Linked DNA regions of Sus scrofa. The protein of the gene in region 2 interacts with the protein of the main gene of each other region in a biochemical or structural test. Links are inferred from orthologs where the notes say so. Each region holds a gene or a part of one and is shown on either strand. Other genes may lie near its edges.

Region 1 (8,070 bases), on a different chromosome or scaffold from region 2:
TGTTGGTCTAGGCATGCCGGACCTGCGCAGATAGGCACACCATTTGCACAGCATATGTCCTCTAAAGAACAAGAGGAAAATGAACCTCATGGCCCCAAGGGGTTTATGAGGGGTTGTTAACAGGATATGCATTAGCAAGGAGAACCAAGGTGCAAACCTAGGTAGCTGGGTTGCTGCAGATAGGCACACTGTCTGCAGAAGCACAATGGTGATTCTCTAGATGCTATGCATAGATAGTTGATGCCAAGCTTCGTCAATGCTAATGATTGTTAAATGCCTAAAGGTCAGAATAAAAGCTTAACCAGCTACAGGCTATGTGACTTTTAAAATGGTAAAAAACTATATCCTGCACCTACAACCCCCTCATCACTTGATGTAAGCCTAAAGAGCACAATAAAAGCAGTGTGGTTTCTTGAGGCAGCACTCTTGGTCCCTGAGACCTTGAGTCCCCTGGTTCCCACCTTTAATTAAGGTAAATGTCTCTGTGTCTTGTTTTGTTTTGTTTTGTTTTGTTTTTTGTCTTTTGTCTTTTTGTCGTTGTTGTTGTTGTTGTTGCTATTTCTTGGGCCGCTCCCGCGGCATATGGAGGTTCCCAGGCTAGGGGTTGAATCGGAACTGTAGCTGCCAGCCTACGCCAGAGCCACAGCAACACGGGATCCGAGCCGCGTCTGCAACCTACACCACAGCTCACGGCAACGCCGGATCGTTAACCCACTGAGCAAGGGCAGGGACCGAACCCACAACCTCATGGTTCCTAGTCGGATTCGTTAACCACTGCGCCACGACGGGAACTCCACTGTGTCTTGTTTTACGTTAACTTTCTCTTAAGTTTCACAGCACCCGTTCTTCAGCCCTCACCTACCCTCAGCTGCTGAGCTGGTCTCAGCAAAAGTATATATATATATGACTGGGTCACTTTGCTGTACAGCAGAAAATGACACAACATTATAAATCAACTATAATTTAATAAAAAAAAAGAAATATTTAAGAAAAAACACTTAGGAGTTCCCATTGTGGCTCAGAGGGTTACAAACTTGATGTAGCCTCTGTGAGGATGTGGGTTCAATCCCTGGCCTCACTCAGTGGATTAAGGATCTGGTGTTGCTGTGGCTGTGGCCTAGGGCTCCGATTCGACCCCTCACCTGGGAACTTCCATATGCCGCAGGTGCGGCCATTAAAAAACAAACGACAAAAAAAAAAAAAAAAAAAAAACACTTAGACAGGAAGCACTCAGAAAACACTCTTATTTGCTCTATAGCATAACTTGACTAAACTTTTCAGAACCACTATTCTCACAAACACCTCCCTACTCTCAAGTCTAAAAACATTCTCTCATGTTAATTCCAAATACATCTGCTTCTATGTCGAGGGACACCCACCCCCAACACTATCCATAGTTCCCATTTCTTCTCAAGACATATTTTCTATTCTCAATCCATCTTCTCTGGGAACTTTGAAAATATGTTCTTACTCTCATTTTCATTCTGAACTTACCAGGTGTAGCTGAAACAGCCTCCTTTCAACCTTTGTAGACTAGCCTCCTCAGAGACTGCAAATCTATTGCAATCTTACAGATACCCCTCCTATTCTGTACGTATTGTTTTACCACCTTTTCATGTTCTGTCTTGCAGTTGGTTTGCTGCTGTTTACAAGACACTTGAGAACAGGAGCTCTTCCAGCCTTATTTTCCACCATAGGACCTATTTCGGTTATTAGGAGTATTTGTAGCTTTCCAAAGAGACCATGGTCTTGCACACATTTGTTCTCCGCCACTTTCCAAAAAAAAAACCCAAAATCCTGAGAACTCCTTTCCTCTTTTCCAGGGAACTCCAAAGTGTTGCTTAGGGAGAAGGTTCAAAATTCAGTTGAAATGCCACCTCTCTCAGGGTTTCCCTAGTGGTCCAGTGGTTAAGACTCGGCCCTTTCGCTGATGCTGCTGGGGTTTAGTCTCTGGTCTGAGAACTGAGACCCCGCAGCAAACCACTGCAAAAGGAAAAGAAAAAAAATGCCACCCTTCTAAAGTTTTCTGTAGCTATTGCCTAGGAGGGATAAGGCAAGAAACAGAGGAACATGGCTCCCAAACTCTACTGTTGGATAAGCACTTGTAGAATTTAATCATGATAACCTGAAAAGGGCTTATTGCCCCCTTTTAACAGATGATGAACTTGAGGCTGGGGGAGCTTTGGTGATTGTCCAAGGACCTGGCTGGGAGGCTAGCAATGCCAAGAGGGAGCTGGAGGGAGTTCTTGCCTTCAGATACAAGAGGCTGCCTCCCATTTGGGTTCAGTGGCAATAATCTGCAACTATAATATAGGAAGTCAACTTGGTAAGCATTAGCTGTTCAAGAGATCTGGCAGTTAGCAGTTGCTCATTAAGTATCTGTTGCATGAACAAATCATGAGAATTCAGTAAACACTGCAGTCAACTCCGTGGAGGATGAGGGAGCTGGGACACTGATTGGTAAAACACAGAGCTGTCATCTCATCTTTCTGATGCTGAAAGGGGGGATTCGAGATGTCAGTGCCTCACAGCTAGTTCATAACAGAGGTAAGACTAGAAAGAATTTATTTTTTTTCTCAACAAATGTTGACCACCTGCTATGGGAGAGTGATAGATTCTGAGGAGACAATGTTGTCAAGGAGGGGGACAAGCTTTCCAATCCCCTCTACAGAACGCTAAAATAAAAAGAAGAAAAAAAGGGGGAAAAAAGCACTGCAGGAAACTATAGTGGGTACAGACTTGCGTAAAATTATGTAAAGAAAGAACTGGGAGAGCTTGGTCGATAAAGTGCAAGATGGAAGGGAAAGGGACCGTTTCTCCGCCGAGCCACACGGGGGCGCTGTACCCCTCCTCGAGTCCCGGGCTCCGGCGGCACCGCCTGCTAACCTTTTCCCGGCGGAAATGCCCGGGCGATGACGGAAACCCAGAGGGAGGGGAAAGAAAGAGCGAGAGAGAAGGGGCAAGGGAATCCAGAGCAGCGGGCGGGCGGGAGGCGGCGGCGGCGGCAAGTGGCCATAATCCGGCGGGAGCTGCGCGGAAGTCCCGCACCTCCCCGCGCCCTCCAGTGACGCCCAGGGCGCGCGGCCCGGCGGGCCAGGGCGGGCGGGGGTCTCCCGAAGGCCGCGCGCCAGGAGCCGCCCGCGGGGCTCGGGCGGGGCGCGGGGTCCGGGGCCGCGCTCCCCCACTCCTTCCTCTCCCACTGGGAGCTGGCGGCGGCGGGCGAGGGGAGCGGCGCGAGGGGCGAGGGCGGGCGGGGAGGGGGGCGGGAGACGGCGGGGGAGGGGCTCGGGTCGCCATGGACGACAAGGCGTTCACCAAGGAGCTGGACCAGTGGGTCGAGCAGCTGAACGAGTGTAAACAGCTTAATGAGAACCAAGTGCGGACCCTATGCGAAAAGGTAAGAGAGAAAATTGGCGAGATGCGGCCGGCGTGCGACAGGCTGGGTGGGGGCTGGGACCTATCCTCTCCCCTCTCCCTCCTCTCCCCTCCCCCCTCCTTCCCCTCCCCCTTTCTCCTCCCCCCCTCCCCCCCACCTCTTCTCCTGGCCTGCTTGTCCCTTGTCCGGCGCGTCCGTCTGGGACCTGCGGGGCTGCGTCTCCCACTCGGGCAGCCTCCCCCGGGAGGAGCCGGGCTGTTCCTGGACCCCCTGGAGACCCAGCACCCGGCTGGGGTTGGAAGCTCCCAGTCCTGGCCTAAGGGGTCCGGGGTAGGTGGGCGGGGGCAACGTGGCACCCGGAATCCACTCCTGGAGTGATTGGGGCGCCGACTGTTTTCTGGGTTTTGCTGACACTCCAGTATTTCCGTGCGGACTAGCAATCCGCGCTTTAGCTGGCTGGCAGGGTAATCTAGGCAATCTCGTAGTTGAAAATGAACCTGGACGTTGTGAATCTCAAGGCCCTTGATATAATAAACGTAGCCGTTTTCTCAGGTGACTCGGTCCTTCAGAAATCATCGAGTTGAAATGTATCAAGCATTTGTTTATAGAGAGGTGGGTGTGATGGCGGACTGTGATTTTTAAAATAGAAGTTGACTTTGGTTGAGACAGATGGTGACTGGTCTTCTTCAATTGAGAAGCTCTCTGGAAGCAAAAATGTTGATTTTCAGAAACAGGACGGCTAGTCTTAAGTTTGGCAACACTGCTTGCATGAAATGATCAATGGGTACGTGTTTTACGTGCAGGGTAACACTTTTCAGAAAGTTATTTCTATTACATATTTAAGTTGTTTTTTTCCAAAAAGTAGTAAAATATGCAGGCAATTAACTGTTTACAGTCGCTGTTGATTGTGTGATTTTAGGCCACTTTCTGAGTCCTATATTCGTTGTTTTCTTAACCTCGAATTATTTCAGATTTTACAGTTTATTTTTCTCATTCCACCTTTTTTTTGGCCTAAATAATATTAATACATTTTTATGTAAAAAGGTTCATATGAAGGAGTAACAAAGTTATTTATTCTTTAATGCTTTTGATTGGTTTGTATTTTTAAGCCATGACCCATAAGACTTTCTTGATCATTGTGTTTGTAAGCCGGGATGCCTCCGAAAAGCATTGAAGAAGGAAAGATTTTGTCAATGTTGTTTATAGCACACCCTTAAAATTAAGCATCTTAGGAATGGAGGAGTAATAGCTGTTTTGTTGTTGTTGTTTTCCTTTTTATGGCCGCATCCAAGCATATAGAAGTTCCCTGGGCCAGGGGTTAAATCTAAACTGTAGCTGTGGAGTTAAATCCTTTAACACATTGAGTGGGCCAGAGATCAAACCTGGACCTCTGCAAAGACCTGAGCTGCTGCTGTCAGATTCTTAACCCACTGCACCATTGTGGGAACTCCCAAGAATAGTGTTTTTAGTTACATGTATTGTTGCTTAGGGTCTACATACATATGTAACTTTTTAGAATTGAGGTATAGTTAATTTACAATGTTGTGTTAGTTTCAGGTATACAGCAGTCACTCAGTTACACACATATATGTGTATTCTTTTTCAGATTTTTTTTCCATTATAGGCTATTACAAAAATATTGAATAAAGTTCCCTGAGCTGTACAGCACATTTTTGTTTTTACCTGTTTTATATATAGTCGTGTGTTTGTGTGCTCATCCCAAACTCCTAACTTACCTCTTCACCCCCTTCCCCCGCTATCCTCTTTAGTAACTATAAGTTTGTTTTCTGTATCTGTGAGTCTGTTAAATAACTATTTGTTAACACAGGAGTGTATTTCTGTAAATAGAACTGCCAAGCAAATGGTATTTTTGTTTCCCTGAAACAGGCTGTTTACTTACCACTTCAAGTTCCACATTCAGTTTTCTTGTGTGATAACCTGTAATTTCATGTCTTAGAATTTACATTTTAATTCACGCTCTCTTAGGCTCCAGTGTCAGGTGAAACATTCAGTTCTGAAATTAGCTGAGTCAGTTCACCTCACTGTGAACAGTAGATAAAGACTTGAAGTTATGGACAAAGTTGGCAGTTGAATCAGTTTTTCCCTTTAATTCTCTAATAAATTTAAGATGTCTTCTGGAGAAGAATATTCTACCCCTCAACCACACTTGAATCCTAATCACTTGAGGAAGCTTTCTGTGTTTGTCCAGAGAGATTATTTTAACTTTAGCTCCTGAATTGAACTACCAATCCCTAGGACCTTTGAGATATATCTAACCTTATGTCTTACTTTTTTTCTTTGAATATTTGTACTTGCCCACTAAGCATGAATTTTTAAGTGAAAATTCCCAGTCATTTGTCTTGGTCCTCCACCACCTTGATGGATTGCCAGTGGACTGGAGAAGTGTGACGGTGGCAGCCCCTTGGCAACTGTGGCGAATCTCTGTGGTACATGTATTCTGTCTTCTCCCTTAGTCTAGAGTTCCATTTTATATCCCTACTTCTGCCCTCCTTTTTCCTGCCAAGTGCAGCGTTTGTTAATAATGAACTCTAGTAGCCAGCCAAGTTCAAATCCTAGCTCTGCAACTTAATAGCTGCCAGTCTTTTGGCACCTCTGACTCCTACCTGTAAGACAGACAGAAGCACAAAGTAATTTTGTGAAGTAACTGTCTTTCTCACTTGGTCTACTTAATATTTGCTCTACCCTTCCAGGTCAAGAATGATAGGCATGTAGAAAGAATATAAGAAAAAATTAAAGGTCATACTTAATTACAAATATCTTTTTAATTCTTTGTGACTAGATTTTAGGGGTTTTTTAATATGATTTTGTGGAATCTATTAGCAATATTATTGTATAGAAAGTTAACATCGTATGGTGGTGATTTCTCCCTCAAAATTAAATTCCTTTTTTTTTTCTTTTGTCCATGCCCTTGGCACGTGGAAATTCCCACTCCAGGGGTCAAACTTGAGCCACAGCAGTGACCCAAGCTGCTGCAGTGACAACACCATATCCTTAATCAGCTGCACCACAGGAGAATTCATCTTTTTTCTTTTTTCTTTTTTTTTTTCTTTTTTGGCCACCCCTTGGCATATGGAATTCCGGGGCCAGAGATCAGATCTGAGCCTTAGTCGAGATCTACACGGCATCTGTGGCAACGCTTGATCCTAAACTCAGTGAGCTGGGCAAGGGATGGAACCTACGTTCTAACCCTCCCAAGACACCACCAATCCCCTTGCACCACAGCAGGAATGCCTTCATTTATTTTTTCAAACAGCTCTTTACTGAGTGTTTATTATGTTCTGGAGATACAGCAGTGAACGGAACAAAAGTTATCTCAGAAGCTAACTCAGAGAAGTCAGCTGAAATTGAGACCAGAATGGTACTGGGGAAAAAAAAGCCTTATTTTTAGGTAGTGGCAAAAGTAAAACCCATTCTAATGCCAGTTGGAGAATAACTACCAAAAATATGGGTTTGAGTAGCATTTTATGTTTGGTCATCTAGGTGAATTTCTGTCTAGAGAAAAAATGTTTGCATAAGATGGTTAAGACATGCCTTCCAAGAAGACTACTAGCTCTGAATGAATTTAAGTTAGCAGTCCAGCTTTTGAAGCTGATTGTGCACTTGACACCTCTTCTGTGCGTAGAGAGATTATATCTGCGATTTGTTCCTGCAACAGCAGTGTGCACAGTAATTTAGAAAGGTGGTGTGCCCGGAGAGCCGGGTTGGCACCGAACGGGACATTTGGTGACCAGAACTATATTTAATTCTTGGTAGAGTCTCAGGAAGAGAAGTTTTTTGACTCAACGTGATAAACTTTTATACTGAAGAATTGGTTATGATATGTAGAAAGGAAAATTGAGCCTATTTGTGTGCTAGCAGATCTTTATTCTGATGATTAAAAAGTGCCTAATTAGAAAAATTTTGAGCGCAGGGATCGAACCCGCAACCTCATGGTTCCTAGTCGGATTCGTTAACCACTGCGCCACGACAGGAACTCCCTCATATAGATTTTTAAGTTGAGATATAATTTACATACATAAAAGTCACCCTGTAAAGTGTACAATTCAGTGGTTTTGGTATATTCATAAAGTTTTGCAACTATTGCCACCATATAATTCCAGAACATCTCCATCACCCTGTGCCCATCAGCAGTCACTCCTCATTCTCCCCATCCTCTGGCAGTCACTGATGTATTTTCTGTCTCTGTGGATTTGCCTCTTCTAGTAGACATTTTATATAAATGGAATTACTGCGTAATCTTTTATGTCTGACTAAAGATTCATCTATGTTATAGCATGTACCAGTAATTCATTCCTTTACCTGGCTGAGTAAAATTCCCTTATATGAATATACCATTGTGGTTGTTTTTATAACTAAGCTATTGCCATCTGGAATTTGTTTTGAAGTTTAAAAAGTTATTTTTTAGATTGAAAAAGTAATACATACTTGTTTTTTTAATATGTGGGCACCTCAGAATTTCCCACTGTGGGAATCCCACAGGATCAGTGGTGTCTCTGAAGCAACAGGGACTCAGGTTCCATCCCCAGCCAGGTGCAGTGGTTTAAAGGATCTGGTGTTGTTGCAGCTGCTGCTCAAATTCAGTCCCTGGCCCAGGAACGTCCATGTTCTGTGGGTGCAGCCAAAAATGTCAATTTTCATTCATGGAAGAACCTTATAACTATAGGACAGGCCAC
Region 2 (7,586 bases):
TCACCAGGGAGCCATGGGGAACCCATATGTCCCTTTCCACAGCCCGCCGCCAAAGGTCTTTGAGGATCAAGCCCGTCTTACTCCTTGTGTGGTAACCCCAATGCCGAGACAGAGGTCTAGTGCAGAATAAGGGCAGGTGAAATGAATGCCTAATAAACAGATCCTAATAAATGCCTAAGGAATAGATGCCTAATAAGTAGATGCCTGATGAACAGATGCCTGATGATGAACAGATGCCCGATGAACAGGTGCCTCACATGCAGCCCATCACGACCACAAACATGCAACGCAGCGACAATGTGGGTGCTGGTGGAAGGTCCTAGGAGGTAAATCCCTGGCTGATCTGGGAAAGCGGCTCTGAGCTCAGGGCCTCGCTGGTGCCCTTACCCCACCCTGAGCTCAGGGCCTCGCTGGTGCCCTTACCTCATCCTTCAGCTGAGCCAGGAAGAGGGGCAGCAGGTGCTCGATGGTGTTGTCCTTGCCCAGGATGGGAGAAAGGCCCATGATGACCGAGGCCAGGGCCGACTTGACATGCTGGTTGGCGTCGGACACCAGCTCCTGGGAGGGAGAAGGAAGTGGGAAGCCGCGGGCTGAGTGGCTAAGGAGACTCCGACTCCTATGGAGACTTAGACTCGGCCTGCTTTTGTGCTCACTCCCAGAGCAGGCTTGGTGCAGAGGGAGAACTGCAGGTCCTCACGTGTCCAGCCTGCCTGGAGATCAACGACCCTGCTCCCAGCACCCCCGCCCCCACCCTTCCGATGAGGAGACCCAGGGACCTCTGCTTGCGAGAGAAGCACTCTCACCCCTACGCTCAGCCCAGAGTCTGCACGCAGGGCTCCTCACTGCCCCAACCCAAGCCTGCCTGGCCCTAGAAGTCTGGGAGCTCGGTTTGCACCTGGCTGCCCCCAAAGCCTCACCTCCACCCTTCCTCCCCGAAGGCTTAGATCTGCTCTAGTTCCCCCCTCCACCCCCAGTCCCCGATACCTTGATGCAGGGCAAGATCTGAGTCATGATGACATTCTCCCGACAGTCGGCTGAGAGGTTTTCACAGAACTCTGCGGGCAGGGAAAGGGAGGCGGCAGGAGGTGAGACCCGAGGGCCTGGTTCTGCCTTCAGCCCCCTGGACGCCCGCCCACTTGCTGTGTTCTGCTCGCCAGCACCAACCTTTGACCTTGTGGGAGGCTGCGGCCCTCACCTCGGCCTCACAGTCTTTCATCAGGTTCTGGAAGGCGGGGACCAGGTCCGTCTTGGTGATCTCAGGCCCCACTGCTTTCTGGAGCTGCAGGAAGGGAGGAGTGAGTGGGCTTGGCGGTTCTCTAGGTGAATGAGAACTGGCCGAGAGCGAGGCCCCTGGAATCGCTGCGAAGGTCTAATCCCAGCACCATGGGGATTGACCTCAGCCAAGTCGCCGAGCCACTCTGAGGCTCAGTTCCCTCCTCCTAAGGTGCTGAGCTGGGCCAATGGCACAGTGGTCACCAGCGTGGCTCTGGAGTCCAAGCCCCAGCTCAAATTCTTCCTCCTACTTATCACCCACGTGACCTTGGAGGAGTGGCTACACCTCTCTGAGCCTCTGTTTCCTCAAAAGCAACACGAGGACTGCAAGGGTACCTAACCGCACATGTTACCTACGTTAGAAATAACGAGATCGCCTTACTCTGCAGGTCATTCAGGGCTGGGTTTTCTGTTACCTGATCCAGAAGGAGCCTAACGATTTAAGGCGGCTCTCAGTTTTTGCTTTGCAGGATCACATCTACGGCGTGTGGGGGTTCCCAGGCTAGGGGTCCAATTGGAGCAGTAGCTGCCGGCCTGCACCACAATCACAGCAACGCAGGATCCTTAATCCGCTAAGCAAAGCCAGGGATCAAACCTGCATCCTCACGGTTACTAATGGGGTTCACAACCCACTGAGCCAAGCAGGAACTCCCTGGCTCTTTTTGAATCACATCTGTGCTTTTCAAAGCTGGTTACTGGACCCATGCTACTTGTGTAATTAAAGTGAACATATAATGGTTAAGAGGGCAGCAGACACACAAGCTGCCCACCACCGCCCATCTCACAGCACCAGGAAGAAAAGGCGCGTGGATTCTGCGGCACAACTGCTTCCCGAAGCCCTGGCAGGAGGCGGAGCGGTTCCCGACTGAGGGAAGGAGCACCGACCCTGAGGGCCTGAGACCCATCTCACCAGTGTTCTCGAGCCCCAAGAGCCAGTCCTGACTGTTCTCGGCTCACGTCCTCCAGCCCGGCTCTCGTGCACTCATCTTCCAGAACCTGCTGGGGCACCACCTCCTCTTCTCAGAGCCTCCGCGCCCACATCCACCCGCCGGCCTCAGCCCCCGGGACACTTTATCGAGATGCTTCCCTCTGTCCAGCTGATCCTGCCCTTCAGGCTGCCTGCACCTTGGAGGCCGGGCTGTGCTGAATTCACTGCCTCCCCAGCGCCCAGCAAAGAGCTGGTGCTCCGCAGACGTGTTTGTGGGAGAAGCCAGCTGGGGTCTCCGAGGAAAGCGTGCTGTCCTGGGAGCTGCGGGACCTCGCCCAGCCCGCCGGCCTGGTGTCACACTGACCGGGGTCAGGGGGCTGAACCGCATCCCCCTGCAAGTCTCGGGTTGAAGTCCTAACCCCCAGGACCTCCGACTGCGACGGCAGCTGTAGAGAGGTCTTTCGAGAAGTGACAGGGGAAAACGAGCTCCTGAGGGTGCACCCGAGTCCGGAGCGACCCGAGTCCACAGGGGCAGGAGAGACGAGGACACAGACACCGGCAAAGGCCGGGGAGGGGAGCCATCCACGACCGAGGAAAGACGACTCGGGAGACCAGCCGAGCTGATGCTCTGATTTCCGACCTCGGCCTCGCAACAGGAGGAAGTAAAGTGCCACCGGCTCCGAGGCGCTCTGAGGGGCGCTCACACACAGGCTCTCCCACAGCACCCCGAGTTGCCCCACCCACCCAGCAGGGTGGGCAAGTCAAGTGGGACCCAACGAAGTGACAACAGAGGCCTTACTTCTTAAACACCGACGGGTCCACAGGGCTCAGCAAACCCCGCTCCTGAACGAGGTCCCTTCCCCTGCAGCCGCACTGCCCCGTCCCTGAGATGCTGGCAACGTCCCCTCAGGTACCTCTGTGAACTTGTCGGCCACCATGTACCGCACACGCCAGGACTTGTCCTCCGCAGCCTGGCGCAGGGTGGGCATCACCAGGGCCTCCAGATCCTCCTGGGGCAGGAGCTGGGCGATGTTCACGCACGCCTCCACCGCCAGCAGCCGCACCGAGTCCTGGGGAGAGGGCGGCAGAGGCGCCATCAGCCCCGCGATCCCCTTTGGGACTCGGGGTCCGCCGGGGGCGGGGCGGGGGGCAGACCCACCTGCTCGTCAGAGGCCAGGTTGGAGAACATGGGGATGATCTCGCTCTTGACGTTGTCCAGCTCCAGCACCTTGGCAAACTCCCCCAGCTTGGAGGCTGCGGCCCGCCGCACCATGGGGGTGTCATCTGAGCACAGGTTCCGGAAGTACCTGGGGGTTGGGGTGGGGCTCAGGAGGAGGACTCCCCGGGGCCCCAAGGCAGCACGGACTCAGCAGCCCCGGGGCTCCTGGCTTTGCCTGGTGACGCTGGGCCAGGGACGGCCTGAGTCTTCCCAGCCTTAGATAACGGAGCTGACTGACAGCCTACCCGCCCCACAGGGTCACCGAGAGCTTTTAAAGCCTCGAGATCATGAGCCTGAGCCACTCGGCAGCCGTCCCACACAGGAAGTCTGTAATGAATGGTGGGTGCCGATTATATTATTATGACCACATAAAATGCTCGGCGAGGGTGCAGGGCTGGGGCGACTCCAAGACTTTCCCTTGATCAGAGACGTGGGCACACGCGATCCCTGAGCACGAGCGGGCAGCCAGAGCGGAGCTTCCCGGCACGAGCGATGACTGAGGGCCTGGGCTTGCTGCTCAGTGGTTCAGAGTCGCCGGATGGACAGAAAGGCCCAGAGGAGGGGAGGAAACACAGCTCGGGGAACTCTAACCCAATAAAGGGATTTTCACTGATTCTCCCAGAAGGCAAATCCACCCCATGAGGAATGCCCCGGGCCATCAAGCCAGGGGGAGGAGCTGGCGGAGGGAGGCCTCCCACCCGACCTGCCACCCGAGACAGGCCGAAACGGCGACCCGCAGCACCTGAGCGCTTGAGATGTGTGAACTCTTTTTAATGCTCCCAATAACCCATGGGAGCAAGAACAGCACCCCCATGTCCAGCATGAGGAAGGGCAGCACTTGGACGTGCGCCCACACGTCCCGACACCCCCTCCCCGAGGGCAGGGAGGGGGCGGTGCTGGCTGGGGGCGCTCAGGGGCACCTGGCCCTGGACAGGCCTGCAGGGGGCTGAGGCTGGAGAGGAGGGGACCAAGCTGGGGGGAGCGGTGGCCTTCCGGGGGGCCAGGGGCCAGGACTCACTGTCGAAGCTCCGCCTTGACGGCACTGGACACACGGGGGTAGCAGACGGAGAAGAGGCCGCAGGCCGAGGTGCGGGAGGTGAACCAGTCGCCGCCCGCCAGCCGCTTCACGAGCGGCACGAAGTGGGCCTCGAGGTCGGAGGGCGAGTGCTCATGTGAGATGGCCCGCAGGGACTCCACCGCCTTGTCGCGCACCACCGTCTCCTCCACCGTGGCCAGCGACTCCAGGGGCGGCTGGGGGGCGGAACATGAGGTCACCGGACAGCCCCCTGCCCGCCCCCCGCTGCTCCCCTCGTGGGCTCCTCTCCTCCAAAAGGCCTGCGCCCGGTGTCAGCCTCCACCCAGCCTGCACTCCCCGAAGAACAACATTCACAGGCCCCTGAAGGAGCTTCGGGGGGGCGAACCCCAAGATTGCACGTGGCACTTTCTGAGGAGAGGAGCACAACCGTCACTGGCCTCTCAAAGTGCACTAGGAACCCCGGTGCCGACCGGAACGTCCACTCCCCAGGGCGCAGCTCCAGGCTCTCACGCGCTGAGTGCCATGAAGCAGGTGCTGCTGCTGCTTTCCCTTGAAGGAACAGAGAACCGAGGCTCAGCCAGCGAGGTACTCTGCCCCCGCCAGTGGGAGCCATGAGCCGGGATCTAAAGCTGGCCACCGGCTCCAGACCCTCCCAGAGCTGAGGACAGAGCTGCTGACAGGCAACGGCCTCAGGCGCTCACGCCACCGGGGCACCCTGGGGCCCATGCCTCCTGACTTGTTACCGTGAGGCCTGGAGGGACATGTGACTGGCTGAGCAATGCGGCCCCTGAGCCCAGCAGACCTAGCACGGGGCGGGAACTCAGTCATTACTGACCTAACAAAGGGGGACTCAACTCATTCTAATCTTCCCACAAAGATGCGGAGATCAGTGGTCTGACGTCCAGCCCAGCCCGACAGCAGGGAAATCGGAAAGCAATCACAGACGCAAGTGCTTCCTGGGCCCGGGCAGGGAACAGAGGGAAGCCTTGGGCAAAGGGATAGTGCTGCCTGACCCAGAGGGGCCAGCAGACACCCATCCCCAGGGCACGTGCTCCCCAAAGGCAGCACGGGGAGGACTGGGGTTTCCCTCGCTGAGAACGCGCAGGGGGAAGACCCGGAACGGGCGGGGAAGGCGCCCTGGGCTCCAGTCCTGGCTGGCCCCAGGCCCCGGGCCCTTGAGAAGGCGTGGGGCTCTCAACAGTGTTTTCTGCTCTGAGTCCTCTGAGAAGCTGCTAAAAGCTGTGAATTCTCTCCTCAGGAAAAGTGACAAGCATCAGGGGCTGCAGACAGTTCCATGGAGTTCAAGGGACCCCCTGCAGGCTGGCCCAGCGACCACATCACATCACGTCGCATCAGAGGAGGGCATTAGACAGTTCTACTGTGTGTCAAAGGTATGAAATTACCCCATTCACATATGACCTTGTGTGTGTACATCTACAAATTACACATGCACACAGATGAAAGACGGGACACCAGAATTTCACGGTAATTATCACATTTTCCTAGAGTTAATGCTTCATGAATGTTTGGAAGGAAACAAACTACCATCTTTGCTCAAATCCAAGATGCCAACAATTCTAACAAACACCTTATTTCATGCACCACGAAAAGGAAGAAAGCCTGCTGACAGTAACTAACTGTAAACATCCCAAGCGCAGACGCCAACGTATGGAAATGTGCCTTTAGACGTGAAACACAGAATGACTGCGGGGGGACGGAGGCAACAGCTACAGCCCACGGCTCCGAGGAACAGAGAAAACCGGGAACGGAGCTCCCCCTAGGTTCTGCTGACCCAGAATTCAGCACTGGGGCACCTCCTCCCGTCTCTTCTCCCAAACAGCAGTCACATCTGTGTCCCCAGCCATTACCCAGCACAGGGCGGCCCAGGCTGGGGAGGCAGGGCCTGGGGAAGCGTCACTCGGACACGCCTGGAATCCCTGCTCTGCCACCCGACCTTGGACAAGCTGCCTCCCCTCTGTGCTCCGGGAGGCTGTCTATACCCTAAGGGCAGACACGACCTCATCACACGGGGCATGATGACAGCTAACATCTGTCAGCACCTGCACAGAGCAAGCACCATGCTGAGACCACTGCTGGGTCTGTTCTAAGGTAAGCGTTAATGCCTCACCCTCAACAGAAGAGGAAAGCATAGCACAGAGAGGGTAAGAAACTTACAAGTCACACAGCAATTAAGCGGAAGAACCCAGCCCGACCTCAGCCTCATGTGCAGAGTGCCAGGAAGGACCAGCTCTGGTCAGGCACGCCCGATCGACGGCATCACCGATGCCAGCATTTTCGTGACTGCTGTTTTAAATGCCACTGCTGACCTGCCAGGGTCAAGTCAACATCCAAGGCCGATGTGTTCCACGGGGATGGCCTGCGCCCAGGCTGGCGGGACCGTGGGCCAGACCCCACCAGCGGCGGGCGGGGGACGGTCCACTTCCAGACTCACCAGCAGGCAGTGCACGTACTCGGGGCCTCCGACCAGCGTGGTGAAGGTGCCCAGCTGTTCCGCCAGGGCCAGCAGGACCTCGTCCTCATCGTAGATGGTGTCTGGGGGACAAGACAGACAGTGTCACAATCCCGCCCCAGGTCTGACCCCGGCCCCTCCGTCGCCCAAGCTCAGAACAAGCAGGCTCCACACCGCCTCCTCGAACTGGCAGCCGCCCTCCGCTGTGCGGGCAGAGATGAAGACACAGGCTGGGGTCGGGCAACAGAGCGCCCGTGACTAGGGGTGGGACGCTGCATTCCGTTTCTGCAGCTGCACGCCGGTGCCGACCACCTCCGCCCTCAGGGAAGGGCACAGTGAGGCACCAACAAGGCCTGTGTCCGAGCGCAGGGCCTGCCCTGCAACTCTCAGCTCTCGCCCTCAGCGCTGTCGCTGCCAGCGACGCCTCCCGCTTCGGCCTGAGGAGCTCTTCTCCGTCCCTGCACACTCAGGTCGGCTACTGGGTCCTGGAAGAGTTCCAGGATGCCCCCAGAAAGGCAGGTCCCTTCTCTGGGCTCACGGCCCAGCCACGCCGCCTCTGCGGAGACCACGTCTCAGGCTAGGACCGCCCGAGCCTGTGCCACAGCTCCTGCCAGAGACAGCACGGCACGGCGGGCACTCCGCCTGCTCAACGTCGCTGAAA
Region 3 (6,934 bases), on a different chromosome or scaffold from region 2:
GAGCGCTCCCTCCCCCGCCCCCACCCGGCTCCTTAAGTCTCAGCAAAGCGGCGGGTAGAGTAGGGACTGGGTGAGGGGAGGTCACGGAGGCAGACACCTGCCCCAGCCGCCTCAGGGCCCATGGGAGCCCCCCAGGAAGGAAGTTTGGCTATGTGGGGTGCTGCCTTACTGGGCAAACGAGGCCCCTTGGGAGCGATTCCCAGGCTGAAATGCCGGGGAGTGGGGACTCTCAGGGGTCATGGGTGGGGGCACCAGCCAGAGGGGCTTCCTCGGCGCTGGGCGGGGCTGGGGCCTTGAACCAGGAGCAGAGCTGGCGGGAGGGGGAGGCGTCTGTGTGGGGCCTCTACACCAGGGGCTCTTCCTGGTGGGGAGGAGTAGTCGGCCCTGGGCTGGGGTGGGGTGGGTGTCAGGCACCTTGTCCTGGGAGCGGCTGGTGGGCTCCAGTGGGCTGAGCACGTTGGGGAGGGGAACCCAGAAAGCTGGCCACAAAGCTTCCTCCGTCCCCTGCCCACAAGGCTGGGCGCCAGCCCCCCTCCCGGCCCCCAGGCCTGGCAGACCATTCCTCGCTCCCTTGAGCTCTCGGCGGAGCCTGCCTGGGGCCCCTCACGGTTGCCAGGGCCTGGACGCTGGAATGTCAGGCCCCTGCGCGGGCCCCACGGCCCCCTCCGCCTCGCGCGGGCTGGGCCAGCATCGGCCCCTCTCCAGGCCTGGGGCGCCCCCAGGTCCCGGGCTGCAGGTGTGCCCGCGCTCCTGTTAGTACGGCTCCTGTTAAGCCGCGTGTGCCTCCGGGGTGTGGGCCTCAGAGGGGTGGGGGGAGACAGCCCCGGCGGCCTCCAGGGAGGACAGGCGGCCTCTTCGAGGGTGAGTCGCCTCCAGCCTCCGCGTGGGACTGGCCTCGCGCCTGAAGGGGGGCGGCCGGGCCGCTGTCCTCGTGTGCCGGGGAGAACGGGGGCCAGCTCCTGTCCACGCGGGTGCCTCCGCCCTGCGGGCCCCTCCCCAGGGCCCCAAACGCCTCGCCTTCCGGGGGGCTGAGGGCGGTGGCCTGGCCGGCGGAGGGGGCGGGGAGTTGTTGGGAGACTGAAGGAAGGCGCCCCAGAGCCCCCCCCCGCCGCCACCGGGCGCCTCTGAGCTCCGAGCAGGGTCCCAGCTGCGGGGGGCGGGAGGGGGGGTGCGGATGGACATGGCCGCTGCCTCCACCAGAATGCCAGCTGATGAAGACGGAGCGGCCGCGGCCCAACACCTTCATCATCCGCTGCCTGCAGTGGACGACCGTCATCGAGCGAACGTTCCACGTGGAGACGCCGGAGGAGCGGTAGGCGCGCCCTCCCCACCGCTCCTGGCCCCTCGCAGCCCCCGCGGGCCGGCCGGCCCCCGTCGTCAGCGGGGTCAGCGGGCCGTGTCCCTGGGTCTCCGTGGGGGCTCTGGGCTGGGGCTCCCGAGGCGGGGAGGCCCGGGCCGGGTGGGGCTGGGGCCTCACCGACCGCCCTGCAGGGAGGAGTGGACGACCGCCATCCAGACGGTGGCCGACGGGCTCAAGCGGCAGGAGGAAGAGATGATGGACTTCCGGTCGGGCTCGCCCAGCGAGAACTCCGGGGCCGAGGAGATGGAGGTGTCCCTGGCTAAGCCCAAACACCGCGTGGTGAGGCCCCGCCCCTGCTCCCAGGGCTCCGTGGTCACAGGTCCCCACAGATGGCCCAGGAGAACCTTGGCCCTCGGGTTCCGACCGCCCAGAGCGCCGGGTCAGAAGCGAGGGAGAGGGGTTTCCTGGCGGCACAGGGGGTTAAGGATCAGGCGTTGTCACCGCAGTGGCTCGGGTCAGGAACGGCCACGTGCCACGGGTGAGGCCAGTAAAATTTAAAAAGAGGGAAGCGAGGAAGAGACGCTGGATTCCAGGAGGCCCGGGCGCCACCGCTCCCGCCGCCCCCTGGACCCCGTGGACATCCTGAGCCCCCCGGCTGTGTTCAGCCCCGAGGCCTCTGTCCCCCTCACCGCTCTCGGGCGGCCAGCAGCCCCCTGCCGCCCCCTGACCCCGGCGCCGGCCTGCCACCCGCAGACCATGAATGAGTTCGAGTACCTGAAGCTGCTGGGCAAAGGCACCTTCGGGAAGGTGATCCTGGTGAAGGAGAAGGCCACGGGCCGCTACTACGCCATGAAGATCCTGAAGAAGGAGGTCATCGTGGCCAAGGTGGGGGGCGGCCCGGGGCCGGGGGCGGGCGGGCGGGCGGGGCCGGGGGCCGGGCGGCTCACGGGGCCCTGTCTCCCAGGACGAGGTCGCCCACACGCTCACGGAGAACCGCGTCCTCCAGAACTCTCGGCACCCGTTCCTGACGGTGAGTCCCCCGGCCCAGGGCGCCCGCGCGGTGCTGGGGTCCGGCCGTCCCTCACGCCAGCCCGTCAGACCTCAGCCGGCCTCCTGGAGGCGCGGGCGGACGTGCCCGGTGCCGGGCCGGGGGGGGGGGGCTGTGCTGGTGGGCAGCGGGTCTGGCCCTCCCTCCGCCTCCCCGCCGGGACCCTGGGAGGCCACAGCCCCAGGCCCACCCTTCCTCAGGGCCTTCCCGGGCTTCCCCTGCCCTGGGGGAACTCAGCCCCAGGGGGTGCATGGAAAACCCACAGCCTTGGGGGCAACAGGGAAGAAGCCGGAATTGTCTGCTCCTGGAAGCCGGGGAGAGGGTGGTCAGGACTCGGGCGGTGGACGACGTGTCCCTGGGACCACCGCGGGCCTGTCCCCTCTGCTCGGCACCATGTCCTCGCGCCGGGGCAGGGCCTGATCCAGAGCAGCGGCAGAGCAGAGAAGCGGTCCTGCTTCTGGCGATTTCGCCTCTCAAAGGATGTTCTCTCCTGAGAAACGGCAGGCGTTTTTGAGAGCCGGCCAGACCCGCTCATTACTGTGGCTTTGTCTCCTTTGCTTCATGCCGCCCTTTGCCCCCGTCTGGCTGGAGGAGGGTGAGGAGGAGGCCAGGCTTTGTCACGCCCTCCGCCCCTCGGTGGGTCCACGCGCCAGCCGCGCGCCACCCTGTCCTGCAGAAACCGCGCTGGGTCCCGGGGGGTGTGGGGGCCCAGCTCCGGGGAGGGGCCCCGGGCCCGAGGCCCGAGGTCTGCGGCCGGCCGGCCGCTCGCAGCCGCGTTCTGCCAGGGAGGCGCTCGCTCAGCGGGGGCCTTTGTTTGGGCTTGAGGTGCCAGGCGGCCGGGCCTGCCCTGCAGGGGACAGGAGAGCTGCCGAGATCCCGGCCGGCCCACGTGGGGCAGCCGGCGTCCCCGCGCGGCTCTGGGCCGCGTTCCAGCGCTGCTTCCCCTGCAGGCCTTGAAGTACTCCTTCCAGACCCACGACCGCCTGTGCTTCGTCATGGAGTACGCCAACGGCGGCGAGGTAGGGCCTGGCCCCAGCGCGCGATGCCCGCTGCGGTGGCCGCCCGCCCCGCTCCCCCCTGAGTTCCGGTCCGTCCGCAGCTCTTCTTCCACCTGTCCCGGGAGCGGGTGTTCCCCGAGGATCGGGCCCGCTTCTACGGCGCCGAGATCGTGTCGGCCTTGGACTACCTGCACTCCGAGAAGAACGTGGTGTATCGGGACCTCAAGGTGGGCGGGGCCGGGGGCGGGGCCGGCCCGACACTCCTCCCCCCAGGCCGCTGCCGCCGCCGCGGTGCCGGGACCGCGGGGGGCGGGGGCGGGGCGGGGCCTTGCTGACCCCGCCCCCAGGCCGCCACTCGCGTGCCAGGGGACCCAGGCGAACGGAACCCCAGGCGGGTTCGCGGAACGGGCTGACTCCGAGGCCGCCTCGCGCAGCTGGAGAACCTCATGCTGGACAAGGACGGGCACATCAAGATCACTGACTTCGGGCTCTGCAAGGAGGGCATCAAGGACGGCGCCACCATGAAGACCTTCTGTGGGACGCCCGAGTACCTGGCCCCCGAGGTGCGTCCGCGTGTCTCCGGGCCCCCCGCCCCCCCCGCCCCGTCCCTGCGGCCTGAGCGCCCCACGAGCCCGCGCCCATGTCCCCAGGTGCTGGAGGACAACGACTACGGCCGGGCGGTGGACTGGTGGGGACTGGGCGTGGTCATGTACGAGATGATGTGCGGCCGCCTGCCCTTCTACAACCAGGACCACGAGAAGCTCTTCGAGCTCATCCTCATGGAGGAGATCCGCTTCCCGCGCACGCTCAGCCCCGAGGCCAAGTCCCTGCTCTCAGGGCTGCTCAAGAAGGACCCCAAGCAGCGGTGGGCGCCCCCTCCAGCCGCGGGCTCAGCCCCGGGGGCCCCAGGGAGGCTGCCTGTCCCCCGCTGCCCGAGACCTCGTGGGGGAAGGGCCGAGCTCTGGGCCGGGCAGGAGGCAGCCCCCGTCACCATGGCCTCGTCTCCCCCAGGCTCGGCGGGGGCTCTGAGGATGCCAAGGAGATCATGCAGCACCGTTTCTTCGCCAGCATCGTGTGGCAGGATGTGTATGAGAAGAAGGTGCGTGGGGGCCTGTGGGCCGGCCCCCCCCAGCCACACCCTTACTCAGGCTCTCACCTCCACCCCCACACGGTGGCACACCTGCACACACACGCTTACACGCACATCCACTCACACACCTGCTCCCACCCCCACCCCTGCTGGCACACCTGGTCTCACACACCCTACACCTGCACACACACAGGCTCACACCTGCTCACACACCTGCACACACACACCTGCTCACCCACACGTGAGGAGGCCCCTGAGGAGCGAGGCAGCTTCTTCCTAAACATGTGCCTCTGCCCGTTGCCTCTGAGGGACTCGGGAGCCCCAGGCCCTGGCCCAGCAGGCTGGGGGCAGGAGGGGGATGTCCCCGGGCTCGTTGACGTCCTGTCACAAGCACACCTCGCCCCCATTTCCAGTCTCCCTCGCCTGCAGGCCACACGCAGCCGGCTGGGCCTCTAGCCCCTGAGAGATGGGTGCCCCACCCTGCTCAGCTCCAGGCCAGGGGCCTGCCCTCTGGGGGCTGCAGTGCCCACCCTGTTGGTCCCTGCTAGTTCCCAGGGCAGCCCCACCCCCAGGCCAGGGCCCTGGTGGGGGTGGGGTGGGGCGCTTGCTTCTCCCCCCAGCCTGGCCCCTTACACTTGGCCTCTCATTCCGCGTCGTTGGGAGTCCTGCCTGTGGCCACGCTCAGGGCCACTCTGCTACCCGGGAGCTGCGAGTGAGGCACCAGACTCCCTCCGGTGGACCCCTGAAGGACCAGGCCCCCCGAGGGGAAGCGGGCAGGGGAGGGCGGGGCCCCATCCACATCTCCTGGGCGGGGCTTGGGCATCGCATCCCCCTCCCTCCCCAGGGCACCTGGTGGGGTTGGCACAGGCCCTGGGCAGGGGGCAGTGGCCGGCTGCTCCGGGGCCCCCTCCCGGGTGGCAGTGGGCCCCCGAGCCCTGCCCTCCCCTTGTCTGGCATTAGCCTCTGCAGCCTGGGCCTGCCGGCGGTTTCTGAGACACCCGGAAAGGAAAATAGGAGCGCTGGAGAAAGAAAAGTGGCCAGGGCCCCTTCTGCCCCGGGGGTGGGGTCCTCGGAGCTGGGCTGCACTGCCTCCTATCACCTGCAGGGGCGCCGTGACACTGCTTGCGGGCTCTTGGTTGAGGGGCACCCACCTAGGCCCTAGGTGGGTCCCCTCCTGTGCAGGTCTCCTTCCAGAACTCTGCCTGTGGGTGGGGACGGCTGCCTGGACACCGTCCCCTGGGAGACAGGAGTCATTTCCCAAGCCAGGGGCACAGCTCCCTGGGGGCCGTGGTCCGGGCGGGTCCGGGTCTGTAACCCAGCCCCCCTTTCCGCAGCTCAGCCCACCGTTCAAGCCTCAGGTCACGTCCGAGACGGACACCAGGTATTTCGACGAGGAGTTCACGGCGCAGATGATCACCATCACGCCGCCCGACCAAGGTGAGGGCCGCGCCTTCCCCTCCGCTCCCCCGGGCGCGCGCGCGCACCATCCCTCGGCGCTGCCCTCGGTGGGAGGCCGGCCGTCCAGCGGCCCTCGGGAAGGCTGCCTTTGGGGGGTGGCGGCCGCGGCAGGAGGGCCTCGCGGGGCGAGGAGGCGAGCCTGCCGGGCGCTGGGGTCTCGCTGGTGCCCGGGCTCTGAGCCGCCCCGCGCGTGCCCGCAGACGACAGCATGGAGGGCGTGGACAGCGAGCGGAGGCCTCACTTCCCCCAGTTCTCCTACTCGGCCAGCGGCACGGCCTGAGGCGGCCAGCCGGGCGCGCTCTCCGGACGACGGCTTCGAAGGGAGGCGGGAAGCCGCGCTCGGACCTCCTGTATTTAATGGGTTTTGTTTCTGGACGCGTTTGGGCCGCACCGGGCTGCTCCTCCCACCAGGGATGCGCGGCTCGCGCTGTGGCGGCTGTGGCGGGGGCTGCCCGCCCGGCCCCGGGCCGCCTCCCCAGCCTCCAGCCGGGCCGGGAGGAAAACGCCCTGCAGTTTTTCCTAATTTATTCATCCGGTTCTCCAGGCGCGGCCACGCGCCGCGCGCTCTCGGGCCGGGTGGGCCTCGCCCGCGCTCCCGGCCGCACCGACTCGGCCCGGAAGCAAGCCGGGCCAGGAGCGCCGGCCGGGGCCTGGCCGGGGCTGGAGGCGGGCGGCCCCTGCGTGGGGCTGGGCCGGGCGAGATCCTGCTCTGTTCACGCGCGTCCTGGGGGCTTCATCTCAGAAGGAAGCCCCCCTCTGCCCCTGCCCGTTGGGACCATCCCATCCGATGGCTCCCCTGGTTAGCAATTGTCCTCATAGAAGCTTCACCCTCCCGCTGTCGCCGCGGCCCCGCCCCACGCCCTTTGCAGGGGCCATCGCTCCGCCCTCCGGCCAGACGCTACGCTGCACCACGGCGGTTTTTTATATTCAACTTTAGTATTTTTACTATTATGAGACTTTCCCTCCAAATTCCTCAATAAAACTTGCTTTTCAACTCCGTGGCTTGTTTAGTTAGGTGGCCGGCCCACTGGTGTGGAGGG
Region 4 (8,272 bases), on a different chromosome or scaffold from region 2:
GTCCAGTGCAGTTTTTAAAAAAAGCATTTTTATTAGTATCTTCTGCACACACTTTATTTTATTTATTTATTTTTGGCTGCACTTGCAGCATGTGGAAGTTCCTGGCCCAGGGATCAAATCTGAGCCACAGCAGTAACAGTGACAATGCCAGGTCCTTAGCCACTAGGCCACCAGGGAATTCCTCCAGTTCAGTTTTAATTTCAGATAATAATTTTGAAAAGTCTAGGTATGTCACATATATTGCCTGGGGCTCCTCATGGATGGGATCCTGGTGTGTGGGAGTGGGGGTGAGGTTGGGGGGCATTGCTGTTTCACTTCCCACTTGAGTCTCAGGCCCCTCTATGAAGCTGGGCCACAGGAATAGGAAGGGGACTGATTCCTGGGGACTGCAGTGTCTATGGCTACAGGACAAGGTGGAGCCTCCATTTCTCCCTCTGTGAAACATAGAATAGTGGACATGGATGTAATTACACAGGGGTAGTTGCTTTGCACATCACTTGAGCAAGTGCTCCAGCTTTCTAGGGGGCTAGAGGGGCTCCTAGGAAGGGGGAGGGTACCAAGTGAATGATTAGAATTCCCTCTTTTTTTTTTAACAATTCCTCTTTGTCCAGGTTGGGGGTCCCCAGAATCTGGAAGCCCCGAGCCTCTTTGGTGGCTCCTGTGACCCTGGACACTTGCGGTAGCAGTCTTGTTCAGCCAACAGTAGAGTGATAGTGGGTGTGGGACAGAAGGAGACACAGGAGTTATGGCAGCACCAGAGTGGGGATGGGCTGATGGTAGCACCTGGGTAAGATGAGCCTGGAAGTAAGTGATCAGAGAGAAGTGGCAGAAAAGTGATGAGAGGAGTTGATGCAGAGGGGAAGAGCATCCTGAAGCCCAGAGGACTTGATGCCCCAGAGTATGGGCAGGAGTGGGGAATGAGGGCAGGATGGAACATTCCTAAGCCTGTAGACCTTGGTGCTTGGGCCAGGGCTGGGCCACTCCTGCCCTTCCTCTGTGACTGGGCAGCCCTCAGGCAAGACTTCTTGCCCATTTGGATACTGGATGCTTCTTTTTGAGACATACCACAGGGAAAGATGGACACAGGCAGAACAGAGAGAGAGAGAGTCCAGAAATGGTCTTCCAAAGAGGCCAAGGAATATTTTTCCAATGACTCAGGCATGATGTGCCAGACCAAGCTGGGTGTGTGGGCCTGATTTATCTGGAGCTTTGTGTTTGCACATACTTAGATGTCAAAGTGTTGGCTGTGAGGAGTGGTGCCAATGCACAGGAGTGCATGCTTGTATCTCTGACACATATGCCTGGCCTGTGAAATGTATCAATGAGCATGCTTAAAATGTATGTACAGCCCCGATAACCTGAGTGCAGTCTCTTCCTCTTCCTGGGGCAGGAGTCTGGGAGTGCCTGCAGGTATGTGGCTCTGTGAGTGCCTGTGTGTGTGTGTGTGTGTGTGTTGGGAGAGGTAGGAGGGCTACAGGCATTATAGAACAGAGATTCTGGAAGGAGAGGTTGCTGGACAGGGCCTGTGTAGCTAGCTCCTGTTCTACTTCCCCAGCCTCCTGGGCCCTGGCTCCTCCATAGGCCCTCTGGAATACCCTTTATTCCCATCATTTACCCAGGGTCCCAGGCTGATTTTCTGAAGGGGAACAGTGCCATCAGGTGGCAGGTTGGGGATGTGCCAGGAACAGGAGAGCTGGACCCTGGGTTCCCACGAGGGCTCTCTTCCTTTCAGGATTTCAGTCAGTGGGGAAGTCACAACCACACTGGTTACATCAAGGACAGAGGGAAAGTTTCTAAGTCCTAAATGCTCCATCCTCATGCATTTTGGGTTCAGAGCCCAGGGAGGCATGGCAGGAAAGTCAGCTGAAGGAGTCAGCTGAAGGAGGATTGATGTAGGAAGTTATGGTCCAGGCTCTCTGCACCCATGAACCTGGGCCCCATTCCTTGGGCCACAGTCTGGGCTCAGATTTCTCATTTGTATAGGCGGCTAACTGTACTACCCTGTGGGGTCCTAGCGGCCATTACTGAGATCAGCAAAGTTCCAGAACCACAGAGACAGAGAGTTACAAGACATGAAAGAGGTGCAGAGAGACAGAGGTGCAGAGAGAAGACACACTTCTATAGCACTGCCACCCATCATTGTAGAATTTTGTGCCTGAGTAGCTGCTTCAAGTTACACACTGAAGTGAAGGAGGGAAGTCTCTTTCTGGAAAGAGGGCAATGGGCTCTGGTGGGAAACAGAATCAAGAGACCCACCATCTAGGCTCTTGCTAGTTTCTTACTAGCTATAGAACGTGAGCATGGCAGCAGGCTTGCTATGTTCCATGTTCCTCATGTGAGAGTGCTGACTGTGAGAATTCCATAAAAATGTACAGAAACTTGCTCAGGAACTCCCAGAAATAAAGCCTTGGTAGGATCTTGTCCAGGAGAGATTCTGCTTACCCATGGAGCTACATTTCTCTTTCATGCCTCCAAAAAAGAAATCCAGTGTCAAAGAAATCCAGTGTCAGAGTCAGGGGTCGCTCTGGTTCTGCGGCTAACTGGTTGTGTGATGTTAGTCATGTCACTCAGTATGACCTGGTCTCTCTTCTCCCACCTGTAAAATAAAGGAATTAAATTAGATGGCTTCTGAGGTCAGCCCTGTCTTAATCTATGTCTTTGGTTTTTTTTCCTTTTCTCTGCCTCACATATAATACCTAGGATGAATATTTATTGATCCTACAGGCAAGGTCTTAAACAGAAAGACAAAGAAAAAAACAGAGCCTTCTGTTAAATGAGTGCTGGCATTTCACATATACTTTGGGAAATACTCTTAGATCCTGGTATATTCTAGGTATAATGGGGCAAATGAGAGAATAAAGCAAAGGCCCTTGTCACCCAGGACCGAATAAGATACTGAGAGGGTATTTAGCAATTAGAGCCTAAGCTTGGGAGGATCGGGTCTTTCACTTCACGCTTCCGGTTTCCTGAGTAACCAATGAGTATGTAGCAGTTCGCGTTTACGCTAAAAACTACACTTCCCAGAAGCCAATGCGCGGGGGCAAAGTGCTCGAACGCCAATCAGGATTAGCGGGCCCCTCCCATAGAGGCGGAACTCCATTTCCCAGGCGGCTCTGGGGCTCGTCGATATTCCTCCGCTCACCCTGGCCTTCTCCTCCCGCCTTCTGCCAGGGAGCCTCGCGCCAAGTCGGGAGAGGCGCGCGCGCGCGCGCGTGCGCGGGGTACGTAGCACGCGAGTGACGCATAATATGTGGGCCGCTCTGGAGCCGTGGTCGCACTGTGTGTGAGTGAGGGAGAGTGAGTGCGGGACCTGAGGCTGTGTGTGTGAACTGTGGCCACTGGCGGGGTCAGGGGGGTGCGGCGGAGCCGCCTGGGAAGGTGAGTAGAGAAAGGAGGGAGACGGCTCTTTCGGAGTGGCGCGAGGAGACAGGGCGCCGGGCCAGGCGGGCGGGAGAGTGGGCGCCGGACTGGGGGAGGGGCGGCACCTGCCTGGGCCGCCGGCGGAGAGGGGGCGGGCCGAGCCTCGGGGGAGGCTTGGTCTGCGGCCTGACAGGACTTTCTCTCCTCCCGATTCTTGGCTCAGGGGCGGGGCTTTCACGTTCTTGCTCCAGCCGGCAAAAGAAACTTCCCTAGAGTAACTCTTCAGCCCAGAGTAGGGGGCAAGGCTGTGCCCGCCCCTACCTGGAGGAGGGGCGCCTCTTATTTCCCTCATCACCTTTCACCTTCCAGTCCCCCCCGTCTTCCTCCGTACGGACTGGGGGCCTCCATCTTCCTGCTGTACGCCCCCCCCCTTTCCTATACTGTCTCCGCCTCCAGCCACCTGGGAGGGCTTTCCCCCTTCCTCGGCCTCTTGCCGCCTCCCCCGGCACTAGCTGGGCACCGTAATGGGTCGAGGGGGCGGAGCTCTCCTGGCACTCCTCCCACTCCCATGGTGGAAGGGAGGGGTGGAATGAGATGTGTGTGGGTCCTGCAGCTTGGAGCCAAACCTTGGAGTACCCGCCAAGTTTCTCAGGAGCCTGTTTCTGGGGGTTATAGTCGTTTTTAACTGGGTGTCAGGCGTTTGGCTTAACTCTCTCTTCCTAGACGGTTTTGGTCTCACTTCCTCTTACTGCATGTTAGCACTCGGGTTTCGCTTGTGTTGAAGTAGTTTTGGAGTGTTTGTAGTAGTTCTTTTTGAGTCCCAGCTGACTTGTCCTTGTCTATGTCACGTTGGCCTCAATTTTTCTTACGCTGTCTTTTCAATGAAGGATTTTAATTAGCCTACGTGTTTTAATGATTATTAGCAGCATCTTCGTGTTCTAAAAGCTTTTTAATGTACAGAGTGAGAGGTTCATTGGCATTGTTCTGTAATTTTCTTGTCCAAGTTTACGGGAGTTTACTTTTAAGGTTTATGTGAACTTGTATAGTTACACTCTTTAGAAATCAATTTGTATTTTTTCTACTTGATGCTGTCAAGATTTGGCCTTTGTATGTAACAGTTATTGTCCATTTTCCAGTGATAGTGTATTTTTGGATGTGAGATATTAGATACAGAATTTGGGAGCTAGAATGGAAATCCTTTTATGTTCAAAATCTCTTGAGTAATTGCTGAGCACAGTGTTTTACTATTCTGTCTGTTGTCCAGTAGTATGAAACACATGTTTGAAGTGATCGAAGTTGGTTTGTTACCAGTTTTCTTATATTTCTGTCATGGTCATAAAAAGTAATAGAGTATTGTTATACATGTTCTTATATGTTATAGACGTAATTAGGTAAATTTTACTCGAAGCTCCAAACTTGGGTTTTTTTTTTTCCCAGTTTTTTTTTTTTTTTTTTCAAATAAGGAAGAAGGTGTACAGACATTTTAACCTTATGGGATTTTACCCTTGTGGGATCTATCCTTAATGAGTACTTTTTTTTAGGCTTTGGGATAGTTTCTGCAGAACAGTCCATTCAGTATTGTGTATTAGAGGTTCACATATTTTTTTGGTTTAATTTAAAAGTTACAGAAGATAACAAAATAGTGGAAAAATGGTGAATCTAGAGTAATAACAGTGAAAAAAATCTTTCTCCTACCCTTATCCCTTAGAAAGTCAGTTACCTGCCGCAAAAATAATAGTTATTATCTGTTTTTTAAAAAAAATTTTTAATTAAAATTTTTTTTGACTGATTGTGTGGAAGTTCCTGGGCCAGGGATCAAACCTGTGCCACACAGTGATCTGAGCTGCTGCAGTGAGAGTGATAATGCTCCACTGCGCCACAAGGGAATGCCTATTATCTGTTTCTTATGAATTTTTCCAGGACACACACACAGACTTTTCTCACTTGACAACATTTTGAGAGTTGGTCCAAATTAGGAAAGAAGTTCCTGTTGTGGCACAGCAGAAATCAACCCAACTGGTGTCAGTGAGGATGAGGGTTCCATCCCTGGCCTCACTTGGTGGGTTAAGGATCTGGCATTCTCACGAGCTGTGGTGTAGGTCACAGACACTGCTCACATAACGCCTAGCCAGCAGCTCCAGGACTGATTCGACCCCTGGGCGGGGAAATACCATATGCCCAGGTGAGCCCTGAAAAGCAGAGAAAACAAAACACAAATCAGGAAAGGAAATCCTTCCTAGTTTTTTTTCTTCTTTTTAATTAAAAAAAATTCGGGCGTATTAAAAAGTTGAAAGAATAGTAAAATGAATACTTGTTTATCCATCTAGATTCAACAGTTATTATTAATATTTTGCCATATTTTCTCTTATAGGTGGATATGACGTACATTTATTTTTGTGGAACCATTTGAAATAAATTTGCAGACACAGCACCCCTAAATACTTTGGCAGACATCCTTTAGGATAAGGACTTTCTACATATTTTTTGTGGAAATTTATGTTATTCCATTTTATGGACAGTCTTATTTAATCCTCATGACAACCATTTCCATTTTACAGATAAGGAAATTGAGATTTGGAGAAGTTAAATAACTTGACCAAGATCTCACAGAGGTATGTTGGCAGAGCTGGGATTTGAATGCTTGAAACCCCTTTCTACCAAGTACCAATCGATTGGTCTTGGGGACCTCTCTGAGCCCCTTTCCTTGTCTGTAAAAACAGGGGCATATTGGTTATGGAAATTCAGAATAATGTCAGTAAATTACCTAAACAAGTGTTTATCTTATACTAATTTTCACAATTCGATAACTATTGTGTCACTGTTGGACAGGCCATAAATTCTGCATACCACTAAAACAACTCACTTTGAAACATGGTGATTTGAGTAATGTATCTTCACTGTCTTGTCCATAACAAGATGACTGCACCTTTTGCCTTTTGTTAGTAGTCTGTCATAGATAGTAAAATGAATTATTGGTATTATTATTTTTGTCTAAGTTTATATTTCCCTGGGCACGTGATTATTCTCAAAGTTATAATTATTCTTAGGCATAGTTAGTTGGAAATTTTGAAAATAATACCAAAATCACGTGTGTGTCTAAATTGAACTGTAAAATATTACTATTTTAATGCCCTTGAATTGATCTTTTTTAGACATAGTATTTTCTTTAAACTTTGCCTTTATGTGTTCTACTAGGCTGATTGCTTAAGTTAACCAAGAGGCATTCTCTCCTGGACCATTTTTCCCATATTAAAAAAAATGTGTGAGTTCCTTTGTGGCACAGCAGGTGAAGGATCTGGCATCGTCACTTCTGCGGCTCTGGTTGCCACTGTGACTTGTGTTGGATCCCTGGCCCAGGAATTTCTGCATGCCGCAGGAGTGGCCAAAAATTTTTTTAAAATTTTCATACGATAAATTAACCCCTTTAAGGTGCATAATTCAGCTGCATATATTAGATTAACAGTGTTGTACAACCATCACCTCTTTTAGTTCTAAGACATTTTCATCACTCCAAAAGGAAACCCTATGGCTATTAATCACTCACTTCTTATTTCCCCCTCACACATACCTCTTGGCAATCACTAGGCAGCTTTCTGTATATGGATTTATCTATTCTGGGTGTTTTGTGTAAGACTAAATAGAATCATATGATATGTGACCTTTTGTATATTTTTTTAAAGCCTAGCATATTCTTTTAAAAGTTCATCCATGGGAAGTTCCTATCATGGCTCAGTGGAAACAAATCTGACTAGTATCTGTGAGGATGCAGGTTTGATACCTGGCCTTGCTCAATGGGTGAAGGATCCGGCGTTGCCATGAGCTGTGGTGTAGGTTGCAGACACAGCTTGGATCCTGCATTACTGTGGCTGTGGTGTAGGCCAGCGATTACTGCTCCAATTCTACCCCTGGCCTGGGAGCGTCCATATGCCAGGGGTACAGCCCTAAAAAGACCAAAAAAAAAAAAAAAAAAGTTTATCCATGGTTGTAATGTACCTTCTTCCTTTTTTTTTTTTTTTTGTCTTTTTGCCATTTCATGGGCCGCTCCCGTGGCATATGGAGGTTTCCAGGCTAGGGGTCGAATTGGAGCTTTAGACGCCGGCCTACGCCAGAGCCACAGCAATGCAGAATCCAAGCTGCACCTGTGACCTACACCACAACTCACCGTGTCGCCAGATCCTTGACCCACTGAGCGAGGCCAGGGATCAAACCTGTGTCCTCATGGATGCTAGTCAGATTTGTTAACCACTGAGCCACGATGGGAACTCCCTGTACCGCCTTCCTTTATGTGGCTGAATACTATTGCATTGTATGAATATAACCACATTTTGTTTATCCACTCATCTCTTGGTGAACCTTTGGGGTTGTTTCTACATTTTGGCTCTTGTGAATATGCTTTGAATATGTGTGTACAAGTGTTTGACTATCTCTTTTCAGTTTTTTGGGGCATATACCTTCGAGTGGAAGTGCTGGGTCATATGATAAATTTTTTTTTTTAACTTTTTGAGGAGCCATAAAATATTTTTATATACTGCTATACCATTTTACATTCCTATCAAAAGTGTGCCTTCCATTTTTTTCCACATCCTTGCCAATGCTTGTTATTTTCTGATTTTTTGGTTTTGGTCATCCTAGTAGGTATGATTGTGGTTTTGATTTTCATTTCCCTAATGGCTAATGATGTTGAATACCTTTTATTTACTTATTTTTCCTTTGCCTGTGGCATGTAAAAGTTCCAGGCCAGGGATCTAACTTGTGTCACAGCAGTGACCCGAGCAGATCTTTAATCTTCTGCACCACAGGGGAACACCTGGTGTTTGAATATGTTTTCATGTACTTGTTGGCAATTTGTATGTTTTCTTTGGAGAAATGTTTATTCAAGTTCCTTGCAAATTTTTTTTTTTTCTTTTTTGGC

Evidence for each region.
Region 1: the proteins of PPP2R1A (region 2) and PPP2CB form a complex in vitro, tested with the Homo sapiens proteins (2 studies listed by BioGRID and IntAct). The link is inferred for Sus scrofa from reciprocal best matches to the Homo sapiens genes PPP2R1A and PPP2CB.
Region 3: the proteins of PPP2R1A (region 2) and AKT1 form a complex in vitro, tested with the Homo sapiens proteins (2 studies listed by BioGRID and IntAct, with this or other methods). The link is inferred for Sus scrofa from reciprocal best matches to the Homo sapiens genes PPP2R1A and AKT1.
Region 4: of the proteins of PPP2R1A (region 2) and DCAF1, one has a biochemical effect on the other in vitro, tested with the Homo sapiens proteins (2 studies listed by BioGRID, with this or other methods). The link is inferred for Sus scrofa from reciprocal best matches to the Homo sapiens genes PPP2R1A and DCAF1.

Annotation. Positions count from the first base shown.
Region 1 is NC_010457.5:54,292,864-54,300,933, forward strand, and holds the start of PPP2CB (serine/threonine-protein phosphatase 2A catalytic subunit beta isoform), read left to right. Parts: upstream 1-2,922; 5' UTR 2,923-3,295; coding exon 3,296-3,397; intron 3,398-8,070.
Region 2 is NC_010448.4:57,939,323-57,946,908, forward strand, and holds part of PPP2R1A (serine/threonine-protein phosphatase 2A 65 kDa regulatory subunit A alpha isoform), read right to left. Parts: intron 7,009-7,586; coding exon 6,908-7,008; intron 4,671-6,907; coding exon 4,438-4,670; intron 3,508-4,437; coding exon 3,360-3,507; intron 3,271-3,359; coding exon 3,115-3,270; intron 1,280-3,114; coding exon 1,165-1,279; intron 1,056-1,164; coding exon 985-1,055; intron 559-984; coding exon 424-558; intron 1-423. UniProt on the Homo sapiens protein: The PR65 subunit of protein phosphatase 2A serves as a scaffolding molecule to coordinate the assembly of the catalytic subunit and a variable regulatory B subunit.
Region 3 is NW_018084979.1:3,040,234-3,047,167, reverse strand, and holds the end of AKT1 (RAC-alpha serine/threonine-protein kinase), read left to right. Parts: intron 1-1,200; coding exon 1,201-1,312; intron 1,313-1,491; coding exon 1,492-1,639; intron 1,640-2,053; coding exon 2,054-2,185; intron 2,186-2,264; coding exon 2,265-2,330; intron 2,331-3,298; coding exon 3,299-3,367; intron 3,368-3,447; coding exon 3,448-3,573; intron 3,574-3,780; coding exon 3,781-3,909; intron 3,910-3,996; coding exon 3,997-4,211; intron 4,212-4,357; coding exon 4,358-4,445; intron 4,446-5,770; coding exon 5,771-5,873; intron 5,874-6,094; coding exon 6,095-6,174; 3' UTR 6,175-6,891; downstream 6,892-6,934. UniProt on the Homo sapiens protein: AKT1 is one of 3 closely related serine/threonine-protein kinases (AKT1, AKT2 and AKT3) called the AKT kinase, and which regulate many processes including metabolism, proliferation, cell survival, growth and angiogenesis.
Region 4 is NC_010455.5:33,745,715-33,753,986, reverse strand, and holds the start of DCAF1 (protein VPRBP), read left to right. Parts: upstream 1-3,229; 5' UTR 3,230-3,378; intron 3,379-5,918; exon of another isoform or gene 5,919-5,972; intron 5,973-8,272. UniProt on the Homo sapiens protein: Acts both as a substrate recognition component of E3 ubiquitin-protein ligase complexes and as an atypical serine/threonine-protein kinase, playing key roles in various processes such as cell cycle, telomerase regulation and histone modification.